Linked DNA regions of Oryctolagus cuniculus. The protein of the gene in region 2 purifies or fractionates together with the protein of the main gene of each other region. This does not show direct contact. Links are inferred from orthologs where the notes say so. Each region holds a gene or a part of one and is shown on either strand. Other genes may lie near its edges. The genes, in order: FBXO10, PDE6D and INPP5E.

Region 1 (3,169 bases), on a different chromosome or scaffold from region 2:
GCAACTGGGAACTGAGGCAGAGGTACTAGACACAAGTACTGCAGCAGGAAGAGCACCTAGCATTTTTGTGAAACTACAGATAGTCAGATCTGACCTTATCCCAAGTTGGTGCCAAAAGGGGAGATAGTAACAACTAGATTTCACTAAGGCTCAGAGGTGTCTCAGTAACTTGCCCAAAGTCACACAGCCAGTACCTGGCAGAGATGAGACATGAAACCAAATACCCTGATGCTCAGGTCTGTTCCCTCCCAGGGAGTCAGGTACAAGTTCTCTGGCCAGGCCGCCGGGGCAAGGGCAGCCGGGTCACTAGGCCTGCGTCTGGCTCCCCAGCGACCTCATGGTTCGGGCAGCGCTGGGCACTTACTTCTTCCTGAAGACCAGGAACTTGTTGTTCTGCATGACACAGTCCCGGTTGTTTGCGATCTGCTGGAAGATGGTCTTGCTGGTCTTGCCCTGGAAGATGATGTTATCCTGCACCAGGGCCTTGGCGCGGCCCCGCACTGCGATGCCGTAGGCCCGGAATGAGTGGATCCGGTTCTTTATTACCTGGGAGAGGCAGCCACAGCTTGTCAGACCTCAGGGACTCAGGCAAGTGAGTCACTTACATGGTAAACTATAAAACCGAGGTGGTAAAACATTCTAGGTGGGGGCCAGGGCTGTGGCGTAGCAGACAAAGCTGCCACCTGCAATGCCGACATCCCATATAGGCGCTGCTTCCTATCCAGCTCCCTGCTGTAGCCTGGGAAAGCAGTAGAAGATGGCCCAAGTACTTGGGCTCCTGCACCCACATGGGAGATTGGAAGAAGCTCTTGGCTTCAGCCTAGCACAGCCCTAGCCATTGTGGCTAGGGAGTGAAACAGCAGGTGGAAGATCTCTTTGTCTCTCTCCTTTCTCTCTAATGCTTTCAAATAAATAAATGTTTTAAAAAAAAAAAAAGACAAAGACAAAAGAGAAAGAGTTATTTCCGGGTCTCCCACGGGAGTATGGGGCCCAAGGACATCTGTTGTCTTCTGCTGCTTTCCCGGGTGCATTAGCAGGGAGCTGGACTGGAAGTGGAGCCATCAGGACACTGGTGTCCGTATGGGATGCCGGCACTGCAGGAGGCTGCTTAACCCTCTGTGCCACAGCACCGGCTCTGACTTTCAAATAAATAAATAAATCTTAAAAAATAATAAGCTAGGTAGGTCAGCCGAGAGCCAAAGGAACTCAAGGAAGAGCAAGAAGACCAGCCTGGAGGAACCAGGGAAAGCTTCCTGGAGGAGGTGATGTGTTAGCTGTCAGAGTTACCAGGTGCAGAGCAAGGGCGAGTTATTCCAGGAAGAAGCCACGTGCAAGGGCTGGTAGAGAGGAAGCTGGTGCCGGAAGCCAGGGCTGCTGAGACCCAACTGAGGCCGCGGTGTGGCCCTCGCTCCCTGTTTCCACAGCACTCGGAAGCCAAGTCGAGGAGTTCTCTGCTCCTCGCCTGTCACTGCTTGTGCAGCTGCAGAGCTGACCAGAGCCTCTGGGGCCCGATTCCACCAGGGCAGGGACCGGGTCCGTCGGGGAAGCCGTGCAATGGCCCCAGCGCAGAGGTCTGCACACGGAGCTCGGCGCTCACGGTGTGAGGCGCAGGCAGACAGGCGAAGGAATGGGTGTACGGCACTGCGGGAAGAGGGGCTCTGCGAGGGGCAGCTACCCCGACGTCCTAAGAGGCGCCTCAGACAGCTGGAGGACTCGGAAAATTGGGGCAGGGGGTTTCCAGCGCACGTGGAAGAGCATGTGCAAAGGCCCTGAGGCAGGATGTCTATGAAGCACCCGCTGCATGCCGGATCGTGCACAGATCATTCTCCTGGGGAAGGGAGCTGAAATAGTTCTGACCCTGACCCGGGACCAGGAAGACGCCTCAGGAGGCTTCTAGCACCCCCGGCCTCCTGTGGGTGAACTCTCACTCAGCCTTCAGGGCCCAGCTTGCGCGTCCCTTCCTATGTGCGGCCCCACTGGCATATCCAGGGGCACGTCTTGGCAGGAGGGACGGCATCCCCTGCAGAGCTGGGAGCTCGTGCTTCTGCGCTGGGCAGAGGGGCACACGCCGCAGCCGTGCACGCGCCCTCACCTTGGTGTCGGGCACACGCCGCAGCTGTGCACACACCCTACCTTGGTGTCGGGCACATGTCACACAGCCGTGCACGCACCCTCACCTTGGTGTCGGGCACACGCCGCAGCTGTGCACACACCCTACCTTGGTGTCGGGCACATGTCACACAGCCGTGCACGCACCCTCACCTTGGTGTCGGGCACACGCCGCAGCTGTGCACACACCCTACCTTGGTGTCGGGCACATGTCACACAGCCATGCACACACCCTCACCTTGGTGTTGGGCACTCGTCACACAGCCGTGCACATGCCCTCACCTTGGTGTTGGGCACTCGTCACACAGCCGTGCACATGCCCTCACCTTGGTGTCGGGCACACGTCACACAGCCGTGCACGCGCCCTCACCTTGGTGTCACACAGCCATGCACACACCCTCACCCTGGTGTCGGGCACACGTCACACAGCCATGCACACGCCCTCACCTTGGTGTCGGGCACATGTCACACAGCCGTGCACATGCCCTCACCTTGGTGTCGGGCACACGTCACGCAGCCGTGCACGCGCCCTCACCTTGGTGTCACACAGCCATGCACACACCCTACCTTGGTGTCGGGCACATGCCGCAGCCGTGCACGCGCCCTCACCTTGGTGTCGGACCTGGGCAGCAGCTGCAGCCCGCTGCCCCGGTTGCCGATGATGTCGTTTTCAATGACGACTGTGCTGTCGCCTTTGGTGATGACGCCGTGGCCTCTGTTGTCATAGATGCCATTTCCCCGGAGCTCCACCTTGCACTGGGCCTCGACCTTGACCCCACTCTGGCGGTTGCAAGAGATGCTGTTGTTGGCCACGCGGGTGAGCTGGCTGCTCTGGGCCACGGTGATGCCCCGGTCGCCATTGGCATGGATTACGTTGGCGGTGACGTGCAGGGCCTCGCTGCTCTGGACGTAGAGTCCTGAGGCTACGGGCAGGGAGAGCACAAGGTGGTCCCAGAGTCAGCCCTGACAACACGGGTGGGCAAGTCTGCCCTGAATCACACGCCCCGGTGGGCGAGCCTGAGTCGGCTCTGCCTGGGCCTCTGCCAAGCTTCCCCCCTCG
Region 2 (3,742 bases):
GCTAGCACACGATGCTTACACCAGGTGCTTTTCTGAATACTTTGGAGATCAATTCATTTCATCTCACAACCAGGTATTATTATTCTTATTTTTACATGAGAAAACTGAGGTAGAGGTTACAGAAGTTGTGCAGGGATATGGGGTCAGGAATGTAAAGCTAGAATTCCAAGGCAGCAAATCCTATGGTTCTTGCTTTCCTTTTCTCTCTTAATCCTCAGATGCCAGTAAAGGACACGGAGGACCAGCACTCTCACTTCACTGCTTCCCAACTTTATGCGGCTGCTCTCCTGTCTCAGGGCTTACTTAGCTCCACTCAAACTTTCCCTGAAAGCCTGTTTGTCGACGCAGCAACATCACGGCTGAACTGGTTAATTCCCCATTCCTGCCAGTGGGCTGACACCTCCTGCTCTCTACTCTTTCATATTTGTCCTCCGCTTCTTTCTCAACAAGTTCAAGAGCCAAGACTGAACGAATGGTGAGAAGCTCAAGCATTCCTTTTCTGCCTTGCTCAAAAGCCACCTTCCGGGTTTTCAGAAATACATTAATTGCAATCCAAAATCTCAAATTCTCTGGTTTACTGTCTGCAACACATATGTTAAGTATAAAGTATGCAAGAGAAAAAATAAAATCCATGTCATAGCTCTCCGAACACTTGAGCTATGCCTATCCCTGTCGAGGCTCCATTATGAAGAGAAACCCAGAAGGGAACATGGAGCTTTGAGAGGTTGTTCCTAAACTCCACCACATGAAAGTACTGAAAGCTGAGCACGGATGAAGTCTGCAAGGCTAACACAGCCTTGGGTTTTTAAACAAGCCTAACAGGATTCCACTGGAGATTTTCATCTGTACATCCCAAACCTCCTGACCCTCTTCTCGCACTGTGTTCTACTACCAACTTGGTTTCTGGCTATGACAAAATAATTCAAATGTGTAGGGGTGAAATGGGCACTGTGACAACCCGACAGGTGGGGGTCAGAGAACAGTGCTTTGCTAAGCACCCAGGGGAGGGGCCCCAAAGCGATGCCGGTATTTTCACCCAAAGCGATATTTAAGAATGTTCCTCACTGAACGGATAGGGTGCTAAGAAGAGATTAAGGTCAGTAGGAGAATGTAAAATTGGAATATGCAAGATCACATTGGCCAGACTAACCCTCCACGAAAACACAAAGCTCTCTAACTACCGGCTCCACCCAGGCCCGAGGCAGGGACTTCACACCTGACCGGGTCCCCAGCGCAAGCCAACCCTTGCTGGACAGCTCCGCCACGACCCGGCGGCAGGCACCCCTAAGGCACCCCGGCCAAGGCACCTGGAGGCATCCCACCACCCGCGAGCTCCGCGTCCTCGCCGGGCTGCAGGGAAGACCCGAGGGGCCGAGAGGCGAGCGGCGCCCGCCCCCCCACCGCCCTCTGCTACTCCAGCCCTGGAAGCCACAAGTGAGCAGAAGAAGTTGTGGCAACCAGACGGGGTGAGGCGGGGTGAGGCGTGGAGGGGGGGGGGCGAGAGTATTTAATGCCAGGCATCGGCGCTGGTCCCACGCAAGGTCGTTCACTCCCAGTCACTTCTCTGCTCCCCCGGGCGGGCTTCCCGCCAAAGACGCCGCCGGGCTTCGAGGCCAGCCCGCCGCGCCCCCTCAGCCCTCCCCGGCGGGCCGCGGCCCCTCCCGGCCGCAGCTCCGAGCCCAGCCCGCTTCCCGACACCCCTCGCCGGCGCCCGGCGCCCCTCGCAGCCCAGGCCCCGGGGCTCCTTCGCCCCCGTGCCCGCGGCTCCCGCCAACGTCCCCCTCCGCCCTCAGGACGCCCCCGTGCCCGCCTCCCGCGCCCCGTGGCGCCGGGGCCTGGGACCTCGGCCCCTTCCTGTCCCCCCTCGCTGCCCCTCTCCTCGGGGGCCCACCTGGCGCCCCAGTCCCCGGCCGGTCTCCTCAGGGAGCGACCGCCTCCCAAGTCCTCCCGGCCCCTCCCCGCTCCCGGGCGGATACAGTTTGAAGCCTCTCAGGATCTCCCTGGCCCGCTCGTCCTTGGCTGACATGTTGCGGCGGCCGCCGCCCGCGGCTCTCTCACGCTGCCCTGCGGAGCCTCGCGGACCGTGCCCAGGAAGCGAGCACAGAGCCGCAGCCCGGCCTGGAGACCTCGGGCAAGCAGAGGCAGCGGCCAGACCCGGACCGGCCTCTCCCTCCCCTCAGCTCCCGCTCCTGATCCTTCTCCTTCCCTCTGGTCTCGGAGCGCCCGCCCCTAAGCCAATGGAAAGCCCGCCTCGGCGATTGGCATTCTCACCAGCCAATAGCAACGCTCAGCGGCTTCGCAGGGGGACGAAGAGCATCCATGGGAAGCGCCCTCCCCGAGAAGTCCCATAGGACAAAATTTTCACTGGGTGTTGTTGCCTAGAGTTAGCCCCAGTGGGGGCTTGGCTTGACATCTGCAGAGGCTCTAGGGGCCTGCTCCTGCTGCTGGGCTCACTAGTCTCCTGAGACGACCGCAGGTTGCATTGTGCGAAGGGGCAGAGGACTACATTTCCCAGAATTCCAGTAGAGCGCCAGGGGACCACAGATCCCAGCACGCAGCAGAGAGGCCCAGGGACTACAAATCCCAGCATTCGTCGCGTCCCGAGGCTCTGTAACTTAGGCTCCAGTGTGCCGCGCAGTGTGCGCAAATTCGTAAACCTGCCGGCAAGGTCGGTGGTTTCTGCATCCCGAGACTGAAAACCAGGCGGGAAGACCCTGTGGCCCGGTGAAAGACGATGACAGCCCACAGAGAATTAACTTCTGTTTACATGGAACTCAGAAATCGCCTGCAAATCATGGTAAGGTTGCAAACAACAAAAACACTGATTAAACCACGAAAGAATGTAACAAAACGACTTCTTCAAACCGTGCTTGTTTGTTGGACGGGGGCGCCGTTTGCGTGTTTTGCGGGGACCTCTGGTGTGTTCCTGCCTCGGACCAGGAGAGCTATCGATTGTGTGCTCTGTCAATACGGGAAGGTGCTTGAAAGAATTTGCTAATCCTGCCCCTGCTGTTTTTACGTGCGAGGGAATTGAGGCCCAGAGAGGCGAGAGACCGGCCTCAGGTCACTGCAAGTTGGGGCAGAGTTAGGATTCGGCCCCGAGTCTGTCGCCCGCAGCCTGGGAGGTGATATTTTTAGCAGTATGGCAGTGCGATTACTGCCCGCCTTGTTGAGTAGTTTGCCCATCCAAGGTTGGAACACCCAGAGGTTGGGTAAAGCATTTATTCGGTGGATTTCTGGCAGATGAGGAAGTGTGTGATATTTGTTTTGGTAGGACTTGGTCTTTTGATTTGTTCTTTCTTTGTCACTCAAGGTGACATTTGATGTGATTTCAGGAAGTGGGTAAAATCGCAGGGTGAGCCCGGGCTTGCTGGGAGATGCTCTGTGTGTTTTCCTAGGACTTTCTTCCTCTCGTCCCCCTCTGCACCCAGCTTTTCACCAGCTTGTCACCCTCTGCACTCAGCTTTTCCTTCTGGGTAATTCAACAAACGTGCTTTCTGCTTCTGTGATTTGTCGGGCACTTAGTGGGTAGAAGACATGGTCCCCGCCTCCACAAAGATGACCGTCTATTTGAGTTAGGGAGACTCCACTGAGAATCAGGATGGAGCGTGACAAAGGGCATCAAGGTGACAGCAGTATGCCACGGGGGGCTCTGGTGGAGAGATTGATTATAGCTGGCCAAAGTTGATGGAGGAGGTGGCCTTTGAGCTTGAGGGATGGGTAGGATTTTCTGTTAAAAATT
Region 3 (3,742 bases), on a different chromosome or scaffold from region 2:
GGCCAGGAGGCTGCCCTCCAAGTAGCTCCTGCAGGGACGGCAGACGGAACAGGGCCGCGTCCCTCGCGTCACCAGGGCGCGGCTGCGGGCACACCTCCCCGGGCTCCGCCTCCCCGAGGGGTCACACACCCTCCGTCTAGAACAGGCCACGGCCGCGGGCGCCGTCCCACTGCCCCCACCAGGGGCTCGAGCTGGGCGTGCATGGCCCACTGCGGGGGTCGGCAGTGGACAGGAGGCACCCGGGTTCCAGAACAGCACCCACCCCTGCTCACGCCCCCCCTCCCCCCCAGCACTGGTTAGGCCGCCCCCTGGGACACCGGCACCCACGTGGGCGCCTGCGAGTCCCGGCTGCTCCACGTCCCATCCAGCTCCCTGCTGTGGCCCGGGAGGCAGCAGAAGACGGCCCAGTGCTGGGGCCCTGCCCCCACGGGAGGCCGGGCGGAGCTGCCGGCTCCTGGGGCCCAGCCTGGCCCAGCCCCAGCCGGTCAGCCATCCAGCCAGCTGGGGAGTGGTCCGCGGACGGAAGACCCCCCCCCCCAGCCTCCTTTGCCTCTCAAGCACGTGAACAAGCAGCCAAGCCTGGCCTGGCCCCACTCCCGCCCAGGACGTCCGCACCACACGCGTGTTTGGCTCCGTGGGCCCCTGGCTGCAGCCGACACAGGTGACGGGGATAGAAGGGGCGTGGCCGCGTGCCGACACCCAGGTGCAGCTCCCGGAACCCGGAAGCAGTGTCCGAATTTTGGGATTTTCCCAACCGTTAGGACACCGCCACGGCCACGCGAGCTCACCCTGCTCCCTGTGTCACCGCCCACACCCTCTCGCCCAAGGGGACTCCGAAGGCCACTCCCTCGGGCCGTCCCCGCCCCCTCCTGCCCCCACCTCCGCCGCTCCCCCAAGCCCACGGCGACCACCACACCCCCCAGGGAGGCAGGGCGCCTCCAGCCCACCACCCACGACTTCCGGAAGGCGGCACAATCCCCGGGGGACCACCGGGCTCACTCAGGGCCCTCCCCAGGCTGCTCCTGGCGCCGCCAGGCCTCCTACCTGCTCCGGACGTCCTGGGTGCGGATGGGCGCCAGGAGGCTGAAGGACCTGGCGGACAGCAGGGACCGGTCATCGCAGGCCAGGGGGCTCCGGGGCCGCCCGGGGCCCAGGCTGCTGTGGGCCCGGGCGAGCGGGGGCTGGGCGAGGTCCGTGGCAACTGTGGGCGCCGACCTCAGGCGGTCGGAGGCCACGTCCAGGTCCGCAGTGGACCGCGGGCGTGGGGGCAGCAGGCCAGGGAGCCGGGGGGAGCTGCCCCCCGAGCCGCCCACCACTCCTGAGAGGCAGTGTCCCCAGGAGGCACTGAGGCAGGGTGGGGAGCCCCCGGGGGCCGGCGGCCAGGCGGGGCCGCGGGACGGACTGGCCCCGTTCTGGGCGGCCAGGTCCTCATGGCTGCTGCGAAAACGCCGCCTCCGCCAGCCCTTGTCGTCCAGAGACAGGGCGCGCTGCAGCCGGGGCCGCGCGGGCGGCGGAGCCACGGGCTGCTCCTGGGCGTGCGGCTCGGCACCGGCGGCGGGCGGCCCGGGACTCCCCTGCGGGCCCGCGGCGAGGTCTTTGTCCGCGGCCGGGGGCGGCCCCCGCGGCATCCTGCCCTCCGCGGGTCGCGGCGCCTCGGCCTTCGACGGCATGGCCCAGCTCAGCGCCGGCCGCGGCCACCTGCGCCAGCGGGGACGCGCAACGTCGGGGCCCCGCGGCCGGGCGCAGAGCAGGGAGCCCGCCGCGGCGGCCCCTGCGGCCTGGCGCGGTCCTCCTGGGGCGGCGGTCGCCGCATGGCTGGCTGCCCGCAAGCCCCTGCAGGAAGACCGAGCTGTTAGGCGAGCCGCCGCCTCGTCCCGGGCGGCGGCCTGCCCCGCATCACTGCGCCCCTCGCCCCGCAACCGCCGCCCGGCGCCCCGGGAGGCCCAGCGCCGGCCGCAGGGGCGACGGCTCGGAGTGCTTCCGGCGGGCCCGCCCCGAGCAACGGTCCGGCCAGGGGCCGCCCCGCCTCGCCCCAAGGGTCACCCCGGCTCGAGATCGCGCCCCACGCACCTCCAGGCCGGCCTCGCGCTCGCGCCGGCGCCGCTCCCGCCGCCTCCGCGTCCACCCGGCCCGGCCGCGCGCCCACAGCGCCCCTGGCGGCCGGAGGACCGCTGCCGCCCACGTCCCCGCAGAGGGGGCTCCCGGCCGTGGGACACCCCCAAGCCCGCGGCCAGCAGACCAGGTGAAGGCAGAGAGCACAAAATATTTTATTTAACAATCTGCAGTGAAACCATTTTCATTTAGGAAAAATAGCAGCTCCCGTGGTGAGCAGGAAGCTTCTTCAACGTGGGCAGTCGTGGGCAGAGGTCCGGGCTCGGCTAGAGGGGCCGCAGCCGGGGTCTCGCCCCAGCAGCGGGCGCCACGCAGCCGCCGGCCAGGCACACGGGCGTCCGCTCTCCTGGGACAGGTGGGCTGGGGGCATCCGCCCAGGGCCCCCGCACACCCGCTCTACGGGGCCTCGGTGGTGCCAAGGACGGCCGCAACCAACAGTCGAGAAAGCCTTAAAGCTGGGGCGGGGCGGGGCGGGGCGGGGCGGGGCGGGGCGGGGGCTCAAGGCAGCCCGGAGACCCCCGCAGACCGCGCCGGCCAGGGCCCTGGAGCGCGCGAGGAGGCCCCAGCTCCTGGCCCCCCTCGGGCATGGCTCCCCGCTCCTGCCCCCACGACCCTAAAGAGGCTACAGAGAGCGAGGCGGGGCAGACTCCAGACGTCCTTGGGTCGGTCACCCGGCCAGGCTCCCACGGCCAGGGCAGCACTGCCCTGGTCCCAGAGCTCCGCCCACGGCACTGCCGGCCCCAGCCCAGCCCCCCGGGCTCCAGTCACTTCCGCGGCGAGCCGCAGGCACGGTGGCGTGGGGTGCCCGGCGTGCCCTCTCGGGACAGAGCCACAGGTGCTCAGCCGGGCTCTCGGCGCCGGTCATCTGGAACCCGCGTGGACGCGGCTAGTTCAAAGGCGGGTACTTCCTCTGGCCGATCCTCCCTGGCCTGGAGCTCCCTGAGACAGCAGAGGCCTGGAACGAAACCAACGGCAGGACCTCTGGCGTCCACCTCGGCTGGGGCCGCAACCGCGCCGAGCTGGGGCTCCCCGTGGGGGAGCGGAGGCCTGGGACGGCAAACCGGGGAGCACGGCGGTCACTTCAGGGGCCTGAGTGGCCTGGGGGGGGTCTCCCCGTGGTCAGCAGGGACACAGCCATCCCCCCACAGGAGCCGAGGGCAGGGAGGGGCCTGGGCGCCGCACACGTCCCCGAGAGGCCACATGGACGGAGTCCCAGCCTGGGCGAGGCCGCCACATGAGGACGGGGCCCATGGGGCCGCAGGCAGGGCTGTGCCGTGTTGGCAACAGCGGGCACCCGTGAGGCCCCCCGCAGGCTCCCTCAGGAGAGACCCTGAGCCCCGGGGTGACGGACAAGCGGGAACCCGGGGCCGGGGACCCCCGACACAGCGCAGAAGGCCAGGCTGAGCCAGGGCGCACTGCAGACAGCCCATCGGGGCGGCGCTGGGCGCAGCGGGAGAGCCCCCGCCTGCCGGGCCGGCATCCCACACGGGTGCCGGTTCGAGTCCCGGCTGCTCCACTTCCCATCTTCCTGCTGTGGCCAGGGAAGGCAGCGGAGGACAGCCCCTGCACCGGCGTGGGAGCCCCAGATGGGAGTTCCTGGCTCCTGGCTTTGGCCTGGTCCAGCCTCGGC

Evidence for each region.
Region 1: the proteins of PDE6D (region 2) and FBXO10 purify together in Homo sapiens (affinity purification with mass spectrometry; 3 studies listed by BioGRID and IntAct, with this or other methods). This does not show direct contact. The link is inferred for Oryctolagus cuniculus from reciprocal best matches to the Homo sapiens genes PDE6D and FBXO10.
Region 3: the proteins of PDE6D (region 2) and INPP5E purify together in Homo sapiens (affinity purification with mass spectrometry; 3 studies listed by BioGRID and IntAct, with this or other methods). This does not show direct contact. The link is inferred for Oryctolagus cuniculus from reciprocal best matches to the Homo sapiens genes PDE6D and INPP5E.

Annotation. Positions count from the first base shown.
Region 1 is NC_091432.1:200,314,046-200,317,214, forward strand, and holds part of FBXO10 (F-box only protein 10), read right to left. Parts: intron 3,033-3,169; coding exon 2,719-3,032; intron 547-2,718; coding exon 365-546; intron 1-364. UniProt on the Homo sapiens protein: Substrate-recognition component of the SCF (SKP1-CUL1-F-box protein)-type E3 ubiquitin ligase complex. Mediates the ubiquitination and degradation of BCL2, an antiapoptotic protein, thereby playing a role in apoptosis by controlling the stability of BCL2.
Region 2 is NC_091434.1:7,549,429-7,553,170, reverse strand, and holds the start of PDE6D (retinal rod rhodopsin-sensitive cGMP 3',5'-cyclic phosphodiesterase subunit delta), read right to left. Parts: upstream 2,237-3,742; 5' UTR 2,027-2,236; coding exon 1,977-2,026; exon of another isoform or gene 1,892-1,976; intron 1-1,891. UniProt on the Homo sapiens protein: Promotes the release of prenylated target proteins from cellular membranes. Modulates the activity of prenylated or palmitoylated Ras family members by regulating their subcellular location.
Region 3 is NC_091432.1:236,626,614-236,630,355, reverse strand, and holds the start of INPP5E (phosphatidylinositol polyphosphate 5-phosphatase type IV), read right to left. Parts: upstream 2,254-3,742; 5' UTR 2,071-2,253; intron 1,834-2,070; 5' UTR 1,671-1,833; coding exon 1,045-1,670; intron 29-1,044; coding exon 1-28. Other genes in the region: protein transport protein Sec16A, read right to left, coding at 2,999-3,067. UniProt on the Homo sapiens protein: Phosphatidylinositol (PtdIns) phosphatase that specifically hydrolyzes the 5-phosphate of phosphatidylinositol-3,4,5-trisphosphate (PtdIns(3,4,5)P3), phosphatidylinositol 4,5-bisphosphate (PtdIns(4,5)P2) and phosphatidylinositol 3,5-bisphosphate (PtdIns(3,5)P2).